4 linked regions of the Arabidopsis thaliana genome follow. The protein of the gene in region 1 purifies or fractionates together with the protein of each later gene. This does not show direct contact. Each region holds a gene or a part of one and is shown on either strand. Other genes may lie near its edges. The genes, in order: SYP21, EMB2296, AT2G25670 and AT1G76810.

Evidence for each region.
Region 2: the proteins of SYP21 (region 1) and EMB2296 purify together in Arabidopsis thaliana (affinity purification with mass spectrometry, with the first as the bait; one large-scale study listed by BioGRID). This does not show direct contact.
Region 3: the proteins of SYP21 (region 1) and AT2G25670 purify together in Arabidopsis thaliana (affinity purification with mass spectrometry, with the first as the bait; one large-scale study listed by BioGRID). This does not show direct contact.
Region 4: the proteins of SYP21 (region 1) and AT1G76810 purify together in Arabidopsis thaliana (affinity purification with mass spectrometry, with the first as the bait; one large-scale study listed by BioGRID). This does not show direct contact.

Annotation. Positions count from the first base shown.
Region 1 is NC_003076.8:5,532,047-5,537,562, forward strand, and holds SYP21 (syntaxin of plants 21), read right to left. Parts: upstream 3,250-5,516; 5' UTR 3,107-3,249; coding exon 2,898-3,106; exon of another isoform or gene 2,547-2,897; coding exon 2,453-2,546; intron 2,250-2,452; coding exon 2,113-2,249; intron 1,885-2,112; coding exon 1,810-1,884; intron 1,548-1,809; coding exon 1,390-1,547; intron 1,292-1,389; coding exon 1,191-1,291; intron 1,096-1,190; coding exon 1,030-1,095; 3' UTR 800-1,029; downstream 1-799. Other genes in the region: HSF3 (heat shock factor 3), read left to right, coding at 1-451; BPA1 (binding partner of acd11 1), read left to right, coding at 3,996-4,001, 4,709-4,818, 4,978-5,047, 5,271-5,345, 5,459-5,516. UniProt on the Arabidopsis thaliana protein: May function in the docking or fusion of transport vesicles with the prevacuolar membrane.
Region 2 is NC_003071.7:7,834,640-7,839,330, forward strand, and holds EMB2296 (Ribosomal protein L2 family), read left to right. Parts: upstream 1-2,427; 5' UTR 2,428-2,511; coding exon 2,512-2,951; intron 2,952-3,184; coding exon 3,185-3,521; 3' UTR 3,522-3,837; downstream 3,838-4,691. Other genes in the region: AT2G18025 (uncharacterized protein), read left to right, coding at 4,177-4,246, 4,323-4,357.
Region 3 is NC_003071.7:10,927,623-10,933,016, reverse strand, and holds AT2G25670 (uncharacterized protein), read left to right. Parts: upstream 1-1,926; 5' UTR 1,927-2,397; coding exon 2,398-2,718; intron 2,719-3,107; coding exon 3,108-3,363; intron 3,364-3,575; coding exon 3,576-3,955; 3' UTR 3,956-4,431; downstream 4,432-5,394.
Region 4 is NC_003070.9:28,830,518-28,839,283, reverse strand, and holds AT1G76810 (eukaryotic translation initiation factor 2 (eIF-2) family protein), read left to right. Parts: upstream 1-2,535; 5' UTR 2,536-2,771; intron 2,772-2,900; 5' UTR 2,901-2,973; coding exon 2,974-4,897; intron 4,898-4,982; coding exon 4,983-5,545; intron 5,546-5,632; coding exon 5,633-5,740; intron 5,741-5,833; coding exon 5,834-5,934; intron 5,935-6,029; coding exon 6,030-6,120; intron 6,121-6,207; coding exon 6,208-6,318; intron 6,319-6,415; coding exon 6,416-6,481; intron 6,482-6,603; coding exon 6,604-6,663; intron 6,664-6,745; coding exon 6,746-7,303; intron 7,304-7,402; coding exon 7,403-7,522; intron 7,523-7,645; coding exon 7,646-7,762; intron 7,763-7,852; coding exon 7,853-7,918; 3' UTR 7,919-8,382; downstream 8,383-8,766.

The sequences.
Region 1 (5,516 bases):
CGAAGCAAGTTTGGCTCATCATCCTCAAGCTGGTCTGGTTCAGCCAAATATAGGTCAAAGTCCGGCTCAAGGAGCAGCACCTGCAGACTCTTGGAGCCCTGAATTTGATTTAGTTGGATGCGAGACAGATAGTGGAGAGTGTTTTGATCCAATAATGGCTGTTTTAGATGAGTCAGAAGGCGATGCAATTTCTCCTGAAGGTGAGGGCAAGATGAATGAGTTACTGGAGGGAGTCCCTAAGCTGCCCGGAATCCAAGATCCATTCTGGGAACAGTTCTTTTCTGTTGAACTCCCAGCGATTGCAGATACAGACGATATTCTATCAGGATCAGTGGAGAATAATGACTTGGTATTGGAACAAGAACCAAACGAGTGGACCCGTAATGAACAACAAATGAAGTATCTTACTGAACAAATGGGACTGCTTTCCTCAGAAGCACAGAGGAAATAAAGGTAAGAACATCGTTAAGTTCAAACATGTTTCTCTGCATTGTTGTATATCTTGAGAGTTATCAATTGTCTCTCACAATGTAGATTTTCAGGGGAGGTTGCAAAAGGAGATATGAAGGAACGAGGAATATATCAGATGGTGTGTATACCCTTTACATTTTTACTTAAATGAAAAAAAAACAGAGAGAAGAAACATAAAAGATTTACCACCAAGCTTGTGAATAGTTAGTAGAGATCGGTTTTTGTGTTGTTTATATTATACTTTTGTGTGAAAACGTTCATCTTGTTCAATTATCATCTCACTAGTACGGTAATCTGTTGGTCACTGACCGGTTAATGACCAAAAAATCAAGATTATTTTCTTATGTTTATTTCTTTTGATCATGAAGATCCTTATGATGGAGTAATACATTGATTAAACATTCACACGATGAGAAGTTAAGATCAATTTGGTTGAATGGGGAAGATGGAGTATAAAGAATCTGTACATTAGATATATATCTTTAATGGGTCTTTGTATAGTTTCCATAGATTCGCTTGATGCTTGAAGATTGAAGCTTGGAGTTATATGTTTGATGCTTAGACCAAGACAACGATGATGACAATGAGTAGAACAATCCCAAAAATGAGAATAAGTAGGCATGTCTGCAACAAAGTAAAAGACAACAAACTTAGCTTAAGCTGCTAAGAATATGAAATCACAGAACTGAAAATGAGAAGAGAGTCTGTTTAGTCCGTACCAAAGAGGAGTTTGATCTTTGAGTTTTAGCTGCTTTTCTGAGTTGAACAGTGGCTTGTGTAGTTGCAGCATGTGAGTTGTCAAGGTTAGAGCTGATGTCATCTGCCAGTGCACATTATAGTTTTTTTCTGAGACTTTAAAAAGGCAAAGAGAAAACGAACAGGGAGATTTACAATTTCTGATTGTTTGGAGTTACTTACCGACAATATTTCCTTGATGGTTCACCATAAGAGCTAGATCTTTGAACATGCCATTCACATCACGAATCTGGTCTTCAATTTCTCGAATCCCTTGCTCTCTTTCCTCAATAATTGCTTCATTGAATGTTATCTCGTTATCTAAAAACACCACTTCTTGCCTGGAATGAGAATATAAAAAGTTAGCGAATAGCAAGCATCTCCCTGCATCCAGGGACATAACCAACTTCGAAAAATTTATTAACCTATTCTAAGGCTTCTATTAACAATTCAGGCTACAGTGAGTGCCAAGTGTAACGATGGTTTGAATTTGAACTCTCGAGAGCAAAATGCATGCTAGACTAACATTTGGTTTATGCTTATAATTGATCAAATGAATTAGTAAAATAACATGCTAGCATATAATCAAATCACACTCCTCACCTTCTTGATTGTAGAAGAAGAGCTTGCTGCTGGGAGATCCTTAAAGATTCAGTATCCAGTTCAGGTGCATTATAACTGCATGGTGTGGCATGACAATGAAGCATGTGTAAGTGAAACTCACATTCCACAAAATATCAGAACAATCCTACGTTCAAAAATTCTTTTGTACAAAACAACAATAATAACATGCGAGTATATAATCCGGAGACTTTTTTTCTTCTCATTTAGGAAACAACGAGATTCATTTACCATGATCTTCTGTTTTTTAACAGGTATTGAAACATAACTGGTCAAAGTGGTTACCTGGTAGGTATTTCTTTTGTGACCACAGGAGTATATGTTATTTCTCTTTCAGCTGCAAGTCTCTGAGCTTTCTGAAACTCTTTGAGAACTGATTGGAAATCTTTTGCCAGTTTAGCATCAGCTATCTTCTTAATTTGCTGCAAGAATACAAACATAACATCAAAACTAGAATACACATATCATCAATCATGTAAACAATTCTCCCACTAAATGAATAAAATGGTACGATTCTGACAAAATTAAACCAAAATAAAACTGGTTCAATAGAAAATGTTCTCTTAGACACTAACATTCCATAGCATCGTAAGGGAATGAAACAAAAAAGTAAGCATTTGCTTACACTAGCTGATCCATGAAGGTCGGCTTCGCTAGCTTCCTTAAGTTTAGCTGAAGTATTCTTCACCAATTCGGATATCTGTAACCTTGTCTTTTGCCTGCCAACAAAAGAACCTAACACTTTAAAACAATTCACAGAACAAATAGATGAAACCAATCTAAAAAAAAAACAATTTCTCAATACACACACACACACACACACACACAAAAAGCTCATTATTTGCAATGTTGTCAGGCATTATTTGCAATGTTGTCTCACATCGATCAGCAAACTCAAATTTGTTCTTCGGTTAAGGGAAAATAATGCAGGATTAGCTTCAAAACAATTAGAAAACTTTTTCAATTAAAAATTGAAATGAAATCGACCAAAATCAATAAGTAAAACCAAAACCCTAATCAACAGAGATTTAACAAAGAGAAGAAGAGTGTGATTAAGAATTGCTACTGACAGCTTATCTCGTAATTCAAGAGTATCTTTAGGTGTTCCGATCGAATTAACGAGGCGGAAGAAGGAATTGACAGCCGTGCTGATCCTGAAAATCCCGGCGGCGACCTCCTGAGATGGATCCCCACGAGACGAAGGTCTCTGTTGTCTCCCACCGGTAAAACGATTCGGCGCCGGAGATCGAGTACCAGCTTCGAGATCTTGGAAACTCATCGTCTCTTCTCTCGAATCTCTCGAAATTCTCTTATCTCTATCTCAGGGGAACAAACGAAGACGAAGATGATGGAAATGAGTTAGGTGAATTATAAGTTTTCCCAAAATTTAATGTTAATTTTTGTTTTATAATTTGTATAAATCATTTAATCTCATGTGGTCCGCGTGAATATGGTGGTGGAGGGAATTTATTAATACGTATAAATTATTTGGCGGTGACACGCCATTGCGAGGGAAGAATCCTGCGTGTCGTTGTTGACCTCACCTGCCCTTCCGTGTAAAATTGAAACTCGGTTCGAGTAAACCGGACCAATTGAGTGGGTTTGCAGGATAAGGATTGGTTAAATGATTTTGGGCTACATTGGAGTTTAGTAAAAGGAAAAGAGAAGAGTTGGGCCAAAAACAAGGAGAAGTCCAACTTTTTTGTAATTACCAAGTTATCATATTTTATGACTGAATTAATAATTACAGTAATCACTTTGATACATAAACCACTTTTTATAGAAAAACAATGATATATTTTTGTTGATAAAAAGTAAAATTTTTATGTATTTTTTTCTAATAAAACATAAACTTAATAATTGTGTTACGAAACTCCTAACTTTTGTTTTGAACTGAAGAGGGAAAAAATAGAAATATATACTAAAAAAGTGAAAATATTAATTGTTGGAAACAATTAGGGACTAAAATAGGATTAAAGGGCGTAACGCAAACCCACACGTTGAGTGTGAGGTGTCATATAAAGCAAAATACACTCTTCCCTCTCTATCTATCTACGCATCATCGATCTCGAAGTACGTTTCGGTTTTCAGGCCAATCTCTGAATCTGCGTGACAAAAGCAACAAATTACATATCTCTCTCTCTGCGCGACTTCGAAGATCAACATCCATGGCGGTATGCTCTACTTTTTTTTTGTGTATAATTTTGTTTTATGCGGAAAAGGTTTAGGTTTCCTCTGCTGGTAGATATTGTTGCGATCCATTTGTTTATCGGGAAATTTTCTCAGGATTGATATTTTTGGCTATTGATTTGATTTCTTCTTCAATTTGGATGATCTGTTGTTTGATTGCTGCACTTGCCGACATAATATCTCCAATGCTATTTGGACGAGTTTGATGATTATTATTGTCGTTATTAATTGATTCTGTATCTCTGTGTGATCTGTATTCGTGCAATTATCTCTATTATCTCCTTGATTTCTCGGTTTTGGTTTTCGTTTATCGTAGTAAATCGCGATTGTGTTATTCTCAATTTGGAACCGAATCTCGCTAGCCAATTTACTTTTAGATTCCTCCATACATTGTCGATTAGTTTCCTTAATTGGTAGCCTTCATGGTTCATTCGAGTTTTCTTTTTGTATAGTGAGATGATGACAGTCATCTTCTAAGCCACTATAATATTATCCCTTTACTTGCATAATTGTATAATCTTGTGATAAATCTAGGCTTCTTTGAGTTTGAGCTGATTTGATTAAAATGGGACTTTCGGTCGATTAGATATGCTTGGATACAAAAAGTAGTTGTACTGTAAACATTCTCATGAAACACCTGTTTATTGTTTTCGTTAATGATTCTTTCCCTTTTGATTCTTTATGATGACAGTCACAGGTAAGGTCAGTAAAAGTTGGCAATCTCTCTTCAGGAGCAACTGAGCATGATATTAAAGAGTTTTTCTCTTTCTCTGGTGAAGTTGAAAGCATCGATATCCAAAGGTTAGTGATATTGTTTCCTTGTTCTTTGATTTCAAAATTTTGACATTTAAAGCTTTTTTTGATCAATTAACTTCCGAAGCTTTTTCTCAGCAAATTTAGATACAGTTCTCTTAAACTTACTGACTCTGAGCTTTGTTTTTGTTTTCTTTTTCTAACTAGCAGTAACGAGCATAGTGCTTATGTCACATTTAAAGAAACTCAAGGAGCAGAGACTGCTGTGCTCTTATCTGTGGGTTCACTCTTATCTCAATATTATTGTAGTAGCATTCAACTCTTACATAACACTGTTAATTTAGTAATCAATCCATGTCTATAAACCTTCGTTTAATATGGTTATACTTCTCTAGTCCAGACAAAGTATCTCTGAGTATTTATAAGTAAAATTAGTTTGCTTACAACTAATATTTGGGACCATTTGCAATTTGCATTACTAACAAGGGGTGTTATTTCAGGGAGCGAGTATTGCCGATCAATCAGTCATCATTGAGTTGGCTCCCAACTACAGTCCACCAGCAGCCCCTCATGCTGTAATGTCTTCTTCATACTGTTTTTCTTCTTTTTGATTAGTGAAAAGTATTCATCTCAACACTCAATAGAGCAGTAATTTCGTAGAGGTGTTAATTTGTGTTAATTTTCTCAGGAAACACAGAGCAGCGGTGCAGAATCTGTTGTCCAGAAGGCAGAAGATGTTGTGAGCA
Region 2 (4,691 bases), on another chromosome or scaffold:
GAGTTAAAATCCGCGTAATATATAATGTTGTTTTATAAAAAAAATTAGTACATGAATGGTCCAACAATTCATAACTCACGTTCTTAACCTAATTTGTGACTAAGACTAACTAATCATGTGTAAACAGCTTTCTATTTCTTCGAAAAATTTAGAATTACAAAGACATAGTTTCGTATGACAAAGTATCACGGTGTCCATCATTTGACAAAAGTAATGATAGAAATATTACTTAGCATCTTTATAAAAGTAATACTTTCTCTTTTACTAAGATACAGGTTACGAGATTAATCATAAAACACTCGAGTCATAAAACAATTTGTTTTGTTTTCTTTCAACACAAAAGTTTTGCTATACGTGTATTCAATATTTATTTGTCGGTGTGTCAATCACCGTAATTTGACTCATTTCCTTTTACATGTAGACGTAGCAAGTAGTATTTCAAAAGATTTTATGTGTATATATCAATTATATTGAGTCAGATTTTTGTGATGGATCATTATGGTCCTACCAACCAGAGTCCCTACATATACTTGTATCTGTGCGAATTTATAGTTGTTACCTAAGCTACAAAAAAAATTGAAGAGATCTTCCGTAATATAGATGAACTAATTTGATGTCCCATTATGTTTCTCGTAAAAGAAGAAATACATGTGTATTTGACAAGATGGTACATAGACCGCTAAACCATCATGTCCTAACAAAGTAGATTGGTATCATTTGCAAAATATGTCACTTAACATTAATGTTCTTCATTCCTTAATACCAGTCTACTTGATGAGTCTCTCCTCTTTTTGATGAGCTAGTCTCGCACTTTTTTTCATCTCTAACTTTTGTATTTTATGAAATGTTCATAGACTTTATTCAAGGCACATTACTATCATATATCTGGATTTAAATTGCCATACCGTATTCACGAGACAATTTATATGTAATAACAATTTAAAAAATGCATTGTCTGCTCAGAAGCTAGCTTGCCCATATTGTGTGTTCTTCTAACAATTTTTTATTGTTTCTTCTGAGGGTTTTTGCATTAAATATGTTATTGTTGACATCATAGATGCTAGTGGATATATCATCGACGACGAACTCGAGTTGCTTAATAATTATTTCCAGTTTCATACATCATCATCATATTATAGAACATATACCTTTATCATATGTATCTCAAAAATCTATAATCAGCTTGATATTAACTTATTCTAAAGTTCAAATCAGTTTTAACTTTTAAGAAAATATTATGAGTTTTCTAATTTGATTCGGTTTTCGCCGGGTTAACCTGAAATCGGAATCTGGATTGGACAAAGTACAAACCGTGGGTTAGTATTAGTAACATCCAATTTGGGCTTGCCCGTATTTGTCTGCTCAGAAGCTAGCTTGCCCATATTATGTGTTCTCCAAAGAATTGTTTATTGTTATTTTGGAGAGGGTTTTTGCATTAAATATGTTCTTGTGTTGACATTATTGATTATTAGATGCTAGTGATATACCATCACCAAAATTAGAATTGCATTATCATCATTTTATATATCAATCTATATATTTATCATATGACTCAGACTATCATGAGACGCATTTTTTTTAAGTATTATGAATAATATACCACTTGTTCACGTTTTAACGTTTGAAAAACATGATTTTGCTACTTTTTACGATTCAAAGTATTTATTAAGAATTTACGTTCTTGAAAAGTGATTATACTGTATATATAACTATAAGTAAATAAAACTTTTTTCGACGAAATTTCTGATGATAAATAAAAGGTCGGATATATTTGACTTTTTTTTTTTTTTTAATTATTTTTTGACGATAAATTTTTCGTTGAAAAATCATCGAAATTTTCGACGGATTCCAATGATCAAAAATTCGTCAATAATTTCCAACGATATTCTGACTAAACTAAATCTGATGAAATATTTTTGACGGCTTTCCAACCAAAATATTTCGTTGTGACTTGTCAAAAATCCGTTAGAATACTAAGCAACTTTTCGACAGATTTTCAGCAAAAATATTCGGTAATATAACGTGTTAAAAATATGATAAAAAAAAAAACTTGATGAATCTACTAAAACTAAATTTTCAATCATATATATCTATTATTCATATATTTCATTCATTTTATTATTTTTCTCTTAACAATTATTTAGTTATTCTGGTATCGTGTAATTATATTCATATGATTTATTCTGATATTGATTCGGTTAGCATCCGGATAAATCTGGGTTGGGCTTTTTAACTTGGTTTTTCTAAGAAAAATTCTAATATGATTTGGTTAGCATCCGGATTAGTCTAGTTTGGTAGGCCTGCCTTTGTGATTCTTAACTCGGTCTTTTGTATGGGTTTGAACAATTACTACACCATTTAGATTCTTCTGACCCATATCAAATAAAGATCCACTTAGGCCCATTAGGGTTAGAACAAACATGAGGTTGCAGAATAAAAAGGGTTCATTTTCCTCACTCTCAAGTTGGATCTCAAAACCCTAATATCTGAACTTCGCCGTCGAGAGCATCCATGGGTCGTGTCATCAGAGCTCAACGTAAGGGTGCGGGTTCCGTCTTCAAATCCCACACTCACCACCGCAAAGGTCCGGCTAAGTTCCGTAGCCTCGATTTCGGCGAGAGAAATGGTTACCTCAAGGGCGTCGTGACGGAGATCATCCACGATCCTGGTCGTGGTGCTCCTCTTGCTCGTGTCACTTTCCGTCATCCTTTCCGTTTCAAGAAACAAAAGGAGCTCTTCGTCGCCGCCGAAGGTATGTACACCGGTCAGTTCTTGTACTGCGGTAAGAAAGCTACTCTCGTCGTTGGAAATGTTCTCCCTCTTAGATCTATTCCTGAAGGAGCTGTTGTCTGCAACGTCGAGCATCACGTCGGTGATCGTGGTGTCCTCGCTAGAGCTTCTGGTGATTACGCCATTGTTATCGCTCACAACCCTGACAGCGACACTACTAGGTTTGTTTCTCTTATCCAAAAATCTTCTGAGGCTTATAAACATTTTCAGATCTGTTGATTGTTTGTTGTAGATTATGATGATCTTAATCAGATTAATTAGAAAATGCTTATGTATCATTGGTTATTTAGTGTAGTTTATGATGATGTTAATGGAATCATTTCGTTAATTAGAAATGCTTGTGGTATAGTTGTTGTAGTCTTGTGAATGATGATTTGAGTATATGTTTGCGCAGGATTAAGTTGCCATCGGGTTCGAAGAAGATTGTCCCAAGTGGATGCAGGGCTATGATTGGACAAGTTGCTGGAGGTGGAAGAACTGAGAAGCCGATGCTCAAGGCAGGAAACGCGTACCACAAGTACCGTGTGAAGAGGAACTCATGGCCTAAGGTTCGTGGTGTGGCTATGAATCCAGTGGAGCATCCTCATGGAGGAGGTAACCATCAGCACATTGGTCACGCCAGTACTGTTAGGCGTGATGCACCTCCTGGACAGAAGGTTGGTCTTATTGCTGCAAGGAGGACTGGTCGTCTCAGAGGTCAAGCTGCTGCTTCAGCTGCCAAGGCAGACTAGAGTTAAAAGAGATAAACTTTGTTTCTCTTGTTTTCTATGTTTCAAGTTTTGTTGTCTGTGTTTCCTTTTGAACCTCATTCTGAAATCCTAAAAGATTTTTATGATAAACCTTTCTCTCTTCTCGAAAAGCTTATGTTATTCACATTGCATACTCTCAATACGCAAAGTTTTCATTTTGTACATATGAAAATTATGTAAGAACAACGTAACCAATTCTCGTGATCGTTAAAGTGGTAGTTGAATTGCAGATTTTCATCGAAACAGCAGCCCGCCGCATTGCTATCACAAAGAATCAAGTCTTTGGTGTTAGTCGAATTGAAGCAATCTGAAGTACCTAAAAAAAAATTACAAGGAATCTTAAAAACGAATCTTGCAGCAAACCTTCAAAATGACACAGAGGACTCAAAGACATTTATGTGCGTAATACAAGTCTGATTCTATAGTTGATTAGCTGAGTTTTGGTAATGTGTAATATTTGTGTTTATGTGATTGAGATTTACCTAAATTGTCTTTGTCCATCAATTTTTAGCGTTTGAGACTTTGAGGAATTGGTTTTAGTATCTGATCCAATAGCTAGATTTGTGTTGCTCTTGCTCTATAATTGTCTTCCAGGTTGAATATGGTCCAAGGATAATTGGTTATCGTCGGCTCTTAGATGTATTCTGCTCTAGTCATGATTCTAGACAAGTGTTTGGACAAGGTCCTGATGTGGGTAACCAATACAGGTAAAAGAGCTGTTTGGTTATCTTTGAGTTTGTTTGTTTGGCCCAAATCTATAACATTTGAATATATGTTGAACAGATCCTGTATTTTCACTAACTGTACAGAAGAGTTGAGACTGGCTTCTACCAGCAAAGAAAGGGAGCAACTTAATACAAGAAGCAGTATCGTGACTTCTCTCTTGTCGTTGACTCCTCTCTTCACGAGTCTCATCTCCGACGCTTCTTCTCTTTTCTTCTGTTGCTTTGGTTCTCATCTTCATCACACTTATTGCAAGTTTGATCAAAGGCTCAAAATCCAACAAAATTCACCATTTTAGACACCTTGGGAAGCACGTTAGCCGGAAAACCTTGAAAAACCCACAAGGGTTTTCAATGCGCCTCCTTTGGATAATTGGATCATACATACACCATTATTGGATAATACTCTCTTGAGTCATGAAGATTAACA
Region 3 (5,394 bases), on another chromosome or scaffold:
AAGAGATGGACCAAATTGCTTTGACTGAAATCATCCGGGGACTTTCAAAAACCATAGGGCAAAACAAACTGAAAAGAAATCCACCTACATCTTCCCAACAATGTTCCATTTTAGATATGATCATTCACTCTGCATACAAATAGATATAGGTAGAACCTAACCAAACTTGGAAATCTCAAAACAAAGACTAACGAGCTCAACATATAACTTAAATCATAAAATGAGGGGAAGGCATCGAAAAAGGTATCTTCGATTAAATAAAAAAGGTACATGCAGAGGCCTGATTAAGGGCATTCTTATTATAGCGAGTTACTTTCTATAGATTTAAGCATAGTTATAATTCGATTCGTGTTTGAATTTTTCGCAACCTATAGCTAGTGCTGCCGCACTGTTTTCAGCCTATTTGGTTAAATGGCGTTGTAAAACTTTTTCAAGCTGGTTTATCTGGGCTTATAATATTTTACTTTGAACCCAAACTTTAAGTATTTTACTATTTTCCTAATCTAGATTGTGTGTCCTGGAAATAGTCATTGATAAGAGAATATTAACCAAATTGATCACTTTAGTCAATGTGATAAGTGAAATTAATTAAGTAAATAAATTATGTACATAATGACATACCATATAAGTTATTTAAATTTACGGGGACTATAAGTTAACTAAATAATATAACGAAAATTTGCGGGAAATAAGTTAGGGAGATTTGCAAAACTACCATTTTTTTACTACCCTTTTGCAACAATACCCTTTTATGTTGTCCATTTTTAAAATCACCCATTCCCTTGAACAAAATGACCAAATTACCCTCATCCAATAGAAACATATAATTGAAACACTTTTAAACCCTTTAAAAATCTTTAAAAATCATTTGTAAATCTTTTAAAGCCCTTTAAAATCCATTGTAAATATTGTAAACCCTTTTAAAAACCCTTGTAAATATTTTAAAATCCTTTTAAAACAATTTTAAATCCTTTGAAAATCTTTAAAAGACCTTTGTAAATCTTTTAAATCCCTTTAAAATCTTTTGTAAATCTTTTAAAAACCTTTTAAAATCCCTTGTAAATCACCCTTTTAAAATCCCTTGTAAATCTTATAAAACCTCTTTAAAATCCCTTGTAAATCTTTAAAACTCTTTTAAAATCCCTTGTAAATCTATTTCCCGCCAAAAAAAAAGTTTGGCGGGAAAAATATTTTTGAAAACAAAATTTTGGCGGAAATTTTTTTTTCGAAAATTTTTGGCGGGAAAATTTTGGCGGAATATTTATTTTGGAATATTTTAGGTGAAAAAATATTAATATTTTATTTTGTTAACCTAAAACAATTTCCAAATAAGGGTAAAATGGTCATTAAAAATTTAAAGAAGGTAGAAATAAAAATGGATAAAACAAAAGGGTAGAGTTGAAAAGGTGCATCATGAAAAGGGCATTAAAAAGAATTTTTCAATAAGTTAAAAAGACTTTTTTGAATTATTTTCTATAGATTTAAGCAAAGTTATAATTTATGCACATAATGACGTATCATATAAGTTTATTTAAAATTTCGCGGGAAACAATTTAACGAGATAATACAACGAGAATTCACAGGAAATAAGTTAACAAGAATTTGCGAGTTACTTCTTATAGATTTAAGCAAATTTATTTCGGTTCTTATATGAATTTTTGACAACCTTTGTGGAATCTTCTCAAGTTAGTTTATGTAAAAAAATTGGCTAAACTATTTAACTTTTGGAACAAAAATTTGAAGAACATGACAGTTTCTTTAAGTATTTTACTATTTTCCCAATTTGAATCCTTTGTATTTCCAATAGTTTCTTTTAACCCCCAGAAATGTTTGGGCTAAACTGTATCATCCTAAAACACATTGATCAAAACCAAGAAAACATAAATTGTTAGGTATCAAAACGTAAATTAACATAACCAATATAAATTCAGAGACACGAGCTTTTTAATGGCTTCTCTCCTCGCGTTATCTCCTTTTGTCGATTTAGCCCTAACCTATACGGCTGCTACATCCAGATTTCCTCATCCTCTATTAGGGAAGAAGAACCAAAACCCTAATCCTATCTTCTCCTCTTATAAATCGCTTCAACAACAGTTTCTTTCTCTTCTGATTTGATCCATGATTTCTCATCTGGAACCCTAGTTTATACATCCATCGGGTGTTACTGTTCTTTATCTGGGCAATCAGTGGTTAGTCAAAAGTATAGGATTTTCATTTAAAGATTTGATTTTGCGTTGAAATCGAACGAACCCAGATTTCATATTTTGTCTCTGTTTTGGCTTTTTTTATCTTTTTAGGTGTTTTTGTTCCTTTTGTATATCTGTCGAGACTTCTAGGTGTGAAATCAAAGCTTGTTTGGTTTATATCGATCTTGGTTTTAGCTGAATCGTTGTTAAGATGGCTGGAGGTGGAAACAGGAGAGATGAAGGATCGATCACGATCCAGAGCACTAATTTGTTTGCAGCATTGGACACTCGTAAGAAGAAGAAGAAGTCTGACAAGGCAGGGAAGAGCAAAGGGTCTTCTAAGTCACGAGAGCCAGAGAAGGAGCCTGAGCCTCAGGTCTATTGGGCTCCTACGCCTTTGAAAGTTAAGTCTTGGGCTGATATTGATGATGAAGACGACGATGATGACTATTATGCAACCACTGCTCCTCCTCAGTCTGGTTGGAGTACTTCTCTGCCTTCCCATACTGATTCCAAAGACGTTCATGTTGAGGTCAGAAGTCTAAACATTTTATGATTTTGTTGCGATTCCTAAATTGGTTGAGAATGGATATGATGGTTCTGTGTCTATTGGTTAACGATTCTCTTTGTGACTGGGAATTCTGAGAGCTGGTTTCTGTTCTAATGTTAATTTATCTTATGCTTATGGCTCTAGTTAGTTATTACAAAAATTGTTTGTGTGTGGTGTCTATTGTCTGAGAGAAGAGGATTTGTTATTGTTGCTCATGTTGCTTTATCCTTCCTGAATATTTTTCATTTGTGTGTTACCTATGTTGTGGTAGCACATGGTTGTGTAGGTTGACTTGTGTAAGCGTTAGTTCTTGTCCAGATTGCGTGTGATTATCTTGGTTGCTGATGGGATTATCTTGGTGTGATTGTCAGGAAAGTGAAAGTGAGGAAGATATTCTTGATGAAGGTGATGATGATGTGGAGGAAGAGCAGGAACAGGAAACAGAGGTACAGGTTCATCCAGAGCCTGAGGTGAAGAAAGCTCCTGAAGTTCCTGCACCTCCTAAAGAGGCAGAGAGGCAACTTTCCAAGAAAGAGAGGAAAAAGAAGGAACTTGCTGAGCTTGAAGCTTTGTTGGCTGATTTTGGAGTTGCCCCCAAGGAGAACAATGGCCTAGAGGAATCTCAAGGTACACTTGTCTTCAATCAATTTTGACATCTGTAATAATACTTATCACGTATTGGCACAGCCATTGCAACTGATATTGCTTAGTTCCAGACAGTTGTGCTCTTTAATAGTATTAATGTTTTGTGTAGTGTCACTATCTTGCTGAGAAAATCAGCATGTTTGATATGTCTAGCAGTTTTGCTAATTCCGATACATTGCATGTTCTTTTTACAGAGGCTGGACAAGAAAAGAAAGAAGATGTCAATGGAGAGGGAGAGAAGAAGGAGAATGCAGCAGGTGGGGAGTCAAAGGCATCAAAAAAGAAGAAAAAGAAGGATAAGCAGAAGGAGGTAAAAGAATCTCAAGAGCAACAAGCAAACAACAATGCCGATGCTGTAGATGAAGCTGCTGGGTCTGAACCAACTGAGGAAGAATCTCCAATTGACGTCAAGGAAAGGATAAAGAAGCTTGCATCCATGAAGAAGAAGAAGTCAGGCAAAGAGGTGGATGCTGCAGCTAAAGCTGCTGCGGAGGAGGCAGCTGCAAGACGTAAGAAGCTGGCCGCGGCAAAGAAGAAGGAGAAGAATCACTATAACCAACAGCCTGTGCGGTAAAATCCTGAATCACCACCATTTTGATCTTGATGGAAATGCAAATATGAACATGTATTTCGCCGTATATTGTTCATATGAGTCTCTGTCCTAATAAATCTTTTGAAGGGTCTGGTTCTTAGAGTTAAAGACATTGAATCCTTTTTCTAGTCTTATTACAATGAACAGGCTAAAGACAAAACTACTCTCTGGAGATTTTCATTTCTTTTTGAAACACCTTTGTTTTCTTAATATCAGACCTTTTTTAGGTTCATTATGTCTTCAATCAGCTTCTTATGTATGGTTCGATGGTGTTATTTTCTTCTTTTTTTCGTTCAGTTGCCTGTGTTTTGATTCATGCCTTGTCACAAAATCTTTTTTGGTTATATGTTCCAAAGTGATTCCCCACTTGAGGGTAATGTATTTTTATTTTTGCAATCACGAATAATAACATTAACCTGTATTTAGTCTACTATGCCTAGTTCATCAATCAATATTTAGACTCCACCTGAACCACAACCGCACTTGATTGTGCTTCGTTAACCACACTTAAACGTGCTTGACTCGACCTAAAAGTCTCGATTTGAACCCCTAAATTAAGTTCCTTTGCTAATTCAGTCGGCCCAAGTGCTTTCTTTAACTATCATAACTCTGAACCATTCTCAATGTTAGTTCATGAATGCATGCATGATCATATCCATTATTGTGCCATTATTACCATCCCATTTCCCTTGATCAGAAAATCTCTTTATCATTGATCACAGTTGAGTTGTGTAATCCACGCACATGGTGATATGGATCAAGTTATTGAATTTCCTTTCTCATGCGGTTAAGAAGCATGTTAATCAGTTGTTACTCTTTTTTGATGTTTATATTTTCTTCTTGTTCAGAAGCATACCGTTTTGCCCAAAAATATGTGTTTGTCAACTATGAACACAAAAATATATCTTGTCTAGATTGGTCAAATATGTTCGTCTGTAATCTTTAATTTGTTATCAACATGCAAATCAAATCAGCTGTATGTATTAATATCGTCTTGAATATGTACTATACACTGAATAATTTACTTAACTATGTATAAAATATGACACATTTTTGATATGTACATATCTAGTCGAATTTTTGTAATGATATTTACTATAGGATAAATAAAGTATTACCTAAATAAGGATTTGATGTTCATATTGTGAATTTTTGAAATTGATAAAAATTTGGAAAGGTCAATGTCCTCATGGTTGGACCGGATTAATCTGGTAATCGGAAAGATATTTCGGTTCTCTTTGAGAATCGGGTTTAGAGTTATTGGTACGGCGTTATCAAATTCGTGAGTGGTTTATTGCGGTTGAACCGAACCACATTAATAAGTTGTAACAATTCACAAGTTTTAGACGCAGCTTGCTTCTTTCTTCTTCTTCCTTTCCCTATCCTCTGCATACACGAACTCGTAAGCTTCTTCGATTCTC
Region 4 (8,766 bases), on another chromosome or scaffold:
CACCTCTGATTTTAAGATCAACATTATCCCAGCTTTTTGCATCCCATTCATCATCTTCCTCAACCCCATTCTCCTGAGCTACATCAGCAGGTCCTCCTGATTTCTCGCCTAAGTTTGCTGACTCTAGTAAATCAACCTTTTCAGTGTCTGCTGAACCAACTTCACCTAAAGCATGGTTTTCTTTTGGCTCTACCTCACCTTCCACCTGGACAGAAGTGTCATTGCCTTTCTGGCGAGATGATTTTTTCTTGTTGGCATAAATGGGGCGCTTTGAGGAAGTAGCATCATCATCATCGTCTGCAACAGGAAGACCTCCACCAGCAGCAAGCAGCTGGTTCTTAAAAGCCTCCCTCTTTTGAGCTTCACTCTTTTGCTTTGCAGTTAGAAGCTTGCCCTCTAGCTTCTTCCTCAACAGTTTCTCCTTTTCCTTTTCCTTTCTTTTACGCTTAGCCTCCTCAGCTTGAGCATCAAGCTCTTCCTGCCTGCGGCGCTCCTCTTCCTCCTTCCTCAATTTTTCTTCTTCTTCCTTCTTTTTTCGCTCTTTGGCTTCTTGCCGACGTGCAAGAGCCTCTTGAATCTCTCTAACATGTTTAGGAATTTTCTTCTCTGCTGCTTTACCCTTTGCATCCTTCTTCCTCGGCTGTAGCGGCTCAGTTACTGATTCTTCTTGTTTTTCCTCCTTAGCCTCTACAGAAGAGGTTGCCGCAGCAGCAGCAGCTGCTTTTTTTTCCTTTTCTTTCTCCTTCTTCTTTTTCTTTTTCTTGGCTGCAGCAGTCTCAACAGTCTCCTCTTCTCCTTCTCACCGGTATTCTCTACAGGTGCAACTGGCTCAGGCTGAGCTTGATCTTTCTCTTCTTCGGAAGCAGGCTTTCCAGCAGCAGGAGTTTCTCCAAGTTCTGCCAGAAGCTTGTCCAAATCATCATCTTCCTGAAGTGTCCTTCCACTCTTGTTCTTCTTCTTATGTTTCTTACTCCTTGCCGATTCTACAAGCTCCACACTCTTAGAATCAGAAGTTTTAGATTGACTACTTTCTTCATCACCTATTGAGGCCAAGACACTGCTGCTCTTCTTTTTAGATGATTTTTTCCTACCTGAAAACGTGATATCATTATCCTCTGCTTCCTCCCTGTTATCTTCATCAGCAAGCAGGGCAAAGCTAACAGAGCCACCGTCTTTTTTACCTTTCGACTTCTTATTATTCCCTACAAAAGCATTATCCGGAACAACCTCTTCCTCCACCGCAAACTTATCAGCAAAATCATCGTCGTCATCCTGCTGCTGCTGCGTACCCTTCTTATTCCTTTTCTTACCCTTCTTCTTCCCAGTGATAACAACCTTGTTTTCCTCAACTTTAGGCTCCTCAAGACATATTGAGTATTCATCATCATCAATTTGAACAGATTTCTTATCAGATTTAGAACCAACGAGAGATGACGCAAGTGGTTGCTCATCATCTCCACCTCGAGAACTCGGCTCCTTCCGACCCATGGATAAATTACAGAGCCGGTTCCAAATTCTTTCCGGCTAATCAATCAATCCAGGTAAAAAAAAATTAGTTTTTTTTGAGGATCGGCACAAAGGACACAGGAGATGAGAGAATCGAAGAAGCTTACCTTACGTGAGTAATCAAAGCGAGCCGTTTGAGAGAGAGCAAAAACTCTTACTTCATCACTAATCTAATCCTTTTTTTAATCTAATTTCTCAACTCTAATTCCAATCCATTATTAGCCCAATTATTAAAGCTCCTCTCCCAAGCCCAATATTCAAAACCCAATTTACAAACATTAATCATTTTCTTCTAACAAGCCCAAATTCACAAAATCAAAAGCAAAAGAAAAAGGAATAATATATCTGCCCCGTTCTCACCTGAATGGCTGAATCAATCATAGACAGTCGAAAAGTGTTTCTACTAAACCACACAAGCATGAATGTTATGCCTATCTAACAAAAGTCAGCTAAAGAAGCATGTGTCCATTGTTGAGGATGGAGAGAGATGAGTCAAGATCAGAGATAAGCCAAAGGTTCATGTTCCATGATACCTGAGCTGGAGTGAGATCATACTTCACTGACTTGCCCGAAACTAGAAAATTTTCAACGACCGCCACGACTCTCCGAGAGAAACCCGGTCTCAAGCAATCTCCCTTGCACGCGAGTGGCAATCCTAGGTCTTTTCAAGCAATTACGTTTTCTTTTGTTCCTAGAGAAACGAATCGAGAAGCTCATGCCTTAACAAAGCTCTCTCTTAAAAACTTCCAAAAACAAAAAACATTGGATGCGGATATGTTTTAGAAAAGTATTTCAAACAAATCATAACGCGAGAAGATTATTTTTTTAAATGAATACTTTAAACAGCTAAATCATGCTGATTTCCCTTATTTTAGTCCATATTAATAAAATTTATGTGTCTTAATTATATAAGTTAGATTTCAGTATATTAAAACGTGAAAATTACAACTGTTGAATCCCATTCAGAAATTACATTTTATAACAAAGAATATGACATATCTTTTATTTTAAAAGAAAAAATAACACTATCGAGAAAGAAAACGGAGAAAAAAATAGTATTTAACAAACGTCACAATTTTTTTTTATTAGAATCGGTAAAATCTACACAGCGTTTAGCTCAACCCTAGGAAGCTTCACGCCGGTTTCTCAAAGCTTCGCTATTTCTCGGTTCTCTACTCTCTCTCTCTCTCTCTCTCTCTCTCCGCGCCGCGCTCTCTCTCTCTAAACTTAGCTCAGCCTATCGATTAATTCCTCTCCGGAATAAGGTAAAGCTTCTTCGATTCTCTCCTCTTAGCCACAGTATCGCTTCCTCGTCTCTCTTGTGGTTTCATTTTCTAAAAGGATTGTGTTGTGCCGATCCCAGAAAACCTAATTTGTTTCCGTTCGAATTGTAGGAAATTTCACCTCGATTTATTGATTAGTCGGAAGAATTCGGAACCAATTCTGAACCAGACCTGAAATTTTCCAATGGGGCGGAAGAAGCCGAGTGCTCGAGGTGGAGATGCTGAGCAGCAACCTCCTGCGTCATCTCTCGTTGGTGCTACTAAATCTAAGAAGAAAGGTGCTCAAATTGATGACGATGAGTACTCAATAGGTACTGAGTTGTCTGAGGAGTCTAAAGTTGAGGAAGAGAAGGTTGTTGTTATCACTGGGAAGAAGAAGGGTAAGAAAGGTAATAAGAAGGGTACGCAGCAGGATGATGATGATGATTTTTCTGATAAGGTTTCGGCTGCGGGGGTGAAAGACGATGTTCCTGAGATAGCTTTTGTTGGGAAGAAGAAGTCGAAAGGTAAGAAGGGCGGTGGTTCTGTTAGCTTTGCCTTGCTTGATGATGAAGATGAGAAGGAGGATAATGAATCTGATGGTGACAAAGATGATGAGCCAGTTATAAGTTTTACGGGTAAGAAGCATGCGTCTAAGAAGGGTAAAAAAGGCGGTAATTCATTTGCCGCTTCAGCTTTTGATGCACTTGGTAGTGATGATGATGATACAGAGGAAGTGCACGAAGATGAGGAAGAAGAGTCTCCTATCACCTTCTCTGGTAAGAAAAAGAAGTCATCTAAGTCTTCGAAGAAGAACACTAACTCGTTTACCGCTGATTTGCTCGATGAAGAAGAAGGGACTGATGCTTCAAACTCTAGAGACGACGAAAATACAATTGAAGATGAAGAGAGCCCTGAAGTAACGTTTTCAGGTAAGAAGAAATCTTCTAAAAAGAAGGGCGGCAGTGTTTTGGCCTCAGTAGGTGATGACTCAGTTGCAGACGAAACTAAAACTTCTGATACTAAGAATGTGGAGGTTGTGGAAACTGGAAAGAGTAAGAAAAAGAAGAAGAATAACAAGAGTGGAAGGACAGTACAGGAAGAGGAAGATTTGGACAAACTTCTTGCAGCACTTGGAGAAACCCCTGCTGCTGAAAGACCTGCTTCATCTACGCCTGTAGAAGAGAAAGCAGCTCAGCCTGAGCCAGTTGCACCTGTGGAGAATGCTGGTGAGAAGGAAGGAGAAGAAGAGACTGCTGCTGCGAAGAAAAAGAAAAAGAAGAAGGAGAAAGAGAAGGAGAAAAAAGCAGCAGCTGCTGCTGCAGCAACCTCTTCTGTAGAGGTTAAGGAGGAAAAACAAGAAGAATCAGTAACTGAGCCACTACAGCCGAAGAAGAAGGATGCAAAGGGTAAAGCAGCAGAGAAGAAAATTCCTAAACATGTTAGAGAGATGCAAGAGGCTCTTGCTCGTCGGCAAGAAGCTGAAGAGCGAAAAAAGAAGGAAGAAGAAGAAAAATTGAGGAAGGAGGAAGAGGAGCGCCGCAGGCAGGAAGAGCTTGAGGCTCAAGCTGAGGAGGCTAAGCGTAAGAGAAAGGAAAAGGAAAAGGAGAAACTGTTGAGGAAGAAGCTAGAGGGCAAGCTTCTAACAGCAAAGCAAAAGACTGAAGCTCAAAAGAGGGAGGCTTTTAAGAACCAGTTACTTGCTGCTGGTGGAGGTCTTCCTGTTGCAGATAATGATGGTGATGCTACTTCCTCAAAGCGTCCCATTTACGCCAACAAGAAAAAATCATCTCGCCAGAAAGGCATTGACACTTCTGTTCAGGGGGAAGATGAGGTAGAGCCAAAAGAGAATCAAGCAGATGAACAAGATACTTTAGGTGAAGTGGGTTTAACAGACACTGGAAAGGTTGATTTAATAGAGTTAGTAAACACAGACGAAAATTCAGGACCTGCTGATGTAGCTCAGGAAAATGGGGTTGAGGAAGATGACGAAGAAGATGAATGGGATGCGAAAAGCTGGGGTACGGTCGATCTTAACCTTAAAGGTGATTTTGATGACGAGGAGGAAGAAGCTCAGCCTGTGGTTAAGAAAGAATTAAAGGATGCTATATCAAAGGCGCATGATTCAGGTTAGTATGAAAATTTAGTTCTTTGTTCTTCCTAGTGTTCCATCCATTGTCTGATTTTTGTCTAATCTTTTGCATTTCTACACAGAACCTGAAGCTGAAAAACCAACAGCTAAACCAGCAGGTACAGGCAAACCACTAATAGCTGCCGTAAAAGCTACACCTGAAGTGGAAGATGCTACACGGACAAAACGTGCTACCCGAGCAAAAGATGCCTCTAAGAAGGGTAAAGGCTTAGCTCCAAGTGAATCTATTGAGGGTGAAGAAAATCTCCGCTCTCCCATTTGCTGCATCATGGGTCATGTCGATACTGGTAAGACAAAGCTGTTGGATTGCATCAGAGGAACAAATGTACAGGAAGGCGAGGCTGGAGGTATTACTCAGCAGATTGGTGCAACATATTTCCCAGCTGAAAACATCCGAGAGAGGACCAAGGAACTGAAAGCCGATGCAAAACTCAAGGTGCCAGGTTTATTAGTTATTGATACACCTGGCCACGAGTCCTTCACGAATCTGCGGTCAAGAGGTTCAAGTTTGTGTGACCTTGCAATTTTGGTGGTGGACATAATGCATGGGTTAGAGCCACAAACCATAGAATCTCTAAATCTTTTGAGGATGAGGAATACAGAGTTCATTGTTGCATTGAATAAGGTAACACTAATTGTCATTCTGCGAGGATGGGATTTTTTTCTCTGTTGCAAAACCTATATGGAAAATAATATCTTCACCTTCCTCCAGGTGGATAGGCTATATGGATGGAAAACATGCAAGAATGCTCCTATCGTGAAGGCAATGAAGCAGCAAAATAAAGATGTTATAAATGAATTTAACTTGAGGCTGAAAAATGTAAGTTATAGGTCTAGAGTTTCTTATTGTATGGTTTGAGCTATCAATTTGTGTACATGTTGTTCAAATTATGTTGTTTCATTGGTATTCCAGATTATAAACGAGTTCCAGGAGCAAGGACTTAACACTGAGCTTTATTACAAGAATAAAGACATGGGAGACACTTTCAGTATTGTTCCTACTAGTGCTATTAGGTATGAATCTCTATTTACTGTTTGTAATATACAGCGTAACAGACAAGTTATTCATCCTAAACGTAATTGGGTAACGTTGGTTCTTGATATTACAGTGGAGAAGGGGTCCCAGATCTCTTGCTGTGGTTGGTTCAATGGGCTCAGAAAACAATGGTTGAGAAACTTACATATGTTGACGAAGTGCAGGTCTCTTTCCTTTCTCTTTAGGTAACACTTGTTTCTGCAATACTTCAGCATGCGGATTTCTGATCTTTTCTTGAAATTGTTGAACAGTGTACTGTACTTGAGGTCAAAGTTATTGAAGGCCATGGTACAACGATTGATGTTGTGTTGGTAAACGGTGAACTCCATGAAGGTGATCAAATCGTCGTTTGTGGGCTACAGGCAAGTAAAAAACTTATGATCCAGACCCGAACAAGTGATGGCACTGGGTAGACATAGAACTTTTCTAAGTGATCATATTTTCTTCCTCATATTTCAGGGACCTATTGTCACAACAATTAGAGCATTACTGACCCCGCATCCAATGAAGGAGTTACGGGTGAAGGTACTTTCTGATTTCCACTTCATGTGTTTTATTACTGTTATTCCCCAGAAATATGGTTCATGCAAATCACTTCCTAGGTTCTTTTTCTATACACAATGAGAATTCCTGGTCTGATGTTTCAGGGTACTTATCTGCATTACAAAGAAATAAAGGCTGCACAGGGTATCAAGATTACTGCCCAGGTGAAATGGACTTCTATATTCTTTATTAAATATACTTATGTTTAGATCACATCCTGAACCATTTTTGGGTTGTGTTTAAAAGGGCCTTGAACACGCAATTGCTGGTACTGCCCTGCATGTGGTTGGACCTGATGATGACATCGAGGCAATTAAGGAGTCGGCTATGGAAGATATGGAGTCGGTTTTGAGCAGAATTGACAAAAGTGGCGAAGGAGTTTATGTACAAGCGTCTACATTAGGGTCATTAGAAGCATTGCTTGAATACTTGAAGTCCCCAGCTGTAAAGATACCTGTAAGTGGTATTGGCATAGGGCCTGTGCATAAGAAGGATGTAATGAAGGCAGGAGTTATGCTCGAGAGAAAAAAGGAATATGCTACAATTTTGGCTTTTGATGTGAAAGTTACTACAGAGGCTCGTGAACTTGCAGACGAAATGGGAGTTAAGATCTTCTGCGCTGATATCATCTATCATCTATTTGATCTGTTTAAGGCTTACATTGAGAATATCAAAGAGGAGAAAAAGAAGGAATCAGCCGATGAGGCAGTCTTCCCATGTGTCCTTCAGATTTTACCTAACTGTGTGTTCAATAAGAAAGACCCAATAGTCCTTGGAGTTGATGTCATCGAGGGTATACTTAAGGTATCTATGCTTTTAATTTCCTACATTCTCTGTAACTCTCACCCATGATGACACAAGTGCTAGGGTTCACACTTTCTTATCTGTCTTGTTTGTTTTCAGATTGGAACCCCCATTTGCGTCCCTGGCAGAGAGTTCATCGATATTGGCCGAATTGCCTCGATTGAGAATAACCACAAGCCTGTTGACTATGCAAAGAAGGGCAACAAGGTGGCAATAAAGGTAATAATTGGATCATTCTGTTTTAACAAGGTTGCAAATCTTTTGCTTACAGAGAAGAAAAGAGTTATGTTTGCTGCGGTTTCAGTTTCACGCCTCGTAATCGATGGTTTCTTTGGTATACAGATTGTTGGTTCGAATGCTGAAGAACAGAAGATGTTTGGAAGGCACTTTGACATGGAAGATGAGCTAGTGAGTCACATATCGAGGAGATCTATCGACATACTAAAATCTAACTACCGGGTAAGTGGAGAAAATGAGCTTGTTTCCCCTTTTAAATCATCATTTTGATAGGAAAACTGATGTAGATCAAAAACCCAAACTAATTTGCAGGATGAATTATCGTTGGAAGAATGGAAGCTAGTAGTGAAACTGAAGAACATCTTCAAGATACAGTAGGAGATTCAAATGTCTACTTTGGAGCTTGAAACACTCTCACATGCCTTGTTATGCCGTGTCTGCGTCGATGCAGAACAAATAGATTCGTCTTCCTGCTTCTAGCGGAGAAGCCTTCACAGAAGATTTGAAAGAGAGACAAGAGAGAGTTTTTGTTTTTGGTTTATTTTCTTTCTTTTTTTGGTCTTTCTCCCTGAAAAGTGCTGAATAATTGGTTCATGAACCTTCATGCTGGCAAATTGCAGGGGAAAGAAGAGCCTTGGGTCTTGAGATATACCACATATCATCTTTATATATGCTTTTTTTGACTTATTTCCATTTTTGTTGACAAAGGAAAATATTCGAATAAATGTTTTTGTCCAATTACTATGTTCTCTGTGGTGTCAAATCTTGAGTTTCCGTTAAGGGAAAATACTTACAAAAATGAATTATCACATCTAATATCAAGTTACAGTCATGAAGTTTTGGTGAAAGCTCATCTTCGTTTATCAAAATATACGTATATTATAAGATTATTTGTTGAAAACAAATATTTTGATTTCGTAATAATATGGAATGTGTAACTAAAAGCAAGCTGCTCCTCCTTTTATGGAGATGTGAAAAGCATGAATGCAAATAATACATAAGATTTGTAGTATACGACAAGAGTTTTAAAGCAGCTCTCTCTTTTATACTTTATAAATGTTGTCGAGATCATTGATATGTTATGTTCATTGTTATGAATGATATGTATTAAACTCTGGTCCATTGCTTTACTCTATGTAATATGATACTTTATATTTCCGAAACGTTTTATTTCTTCCGTCTATTCGTAAATGTTTAATTGGTTCACAATTCTAATTGACTACTAT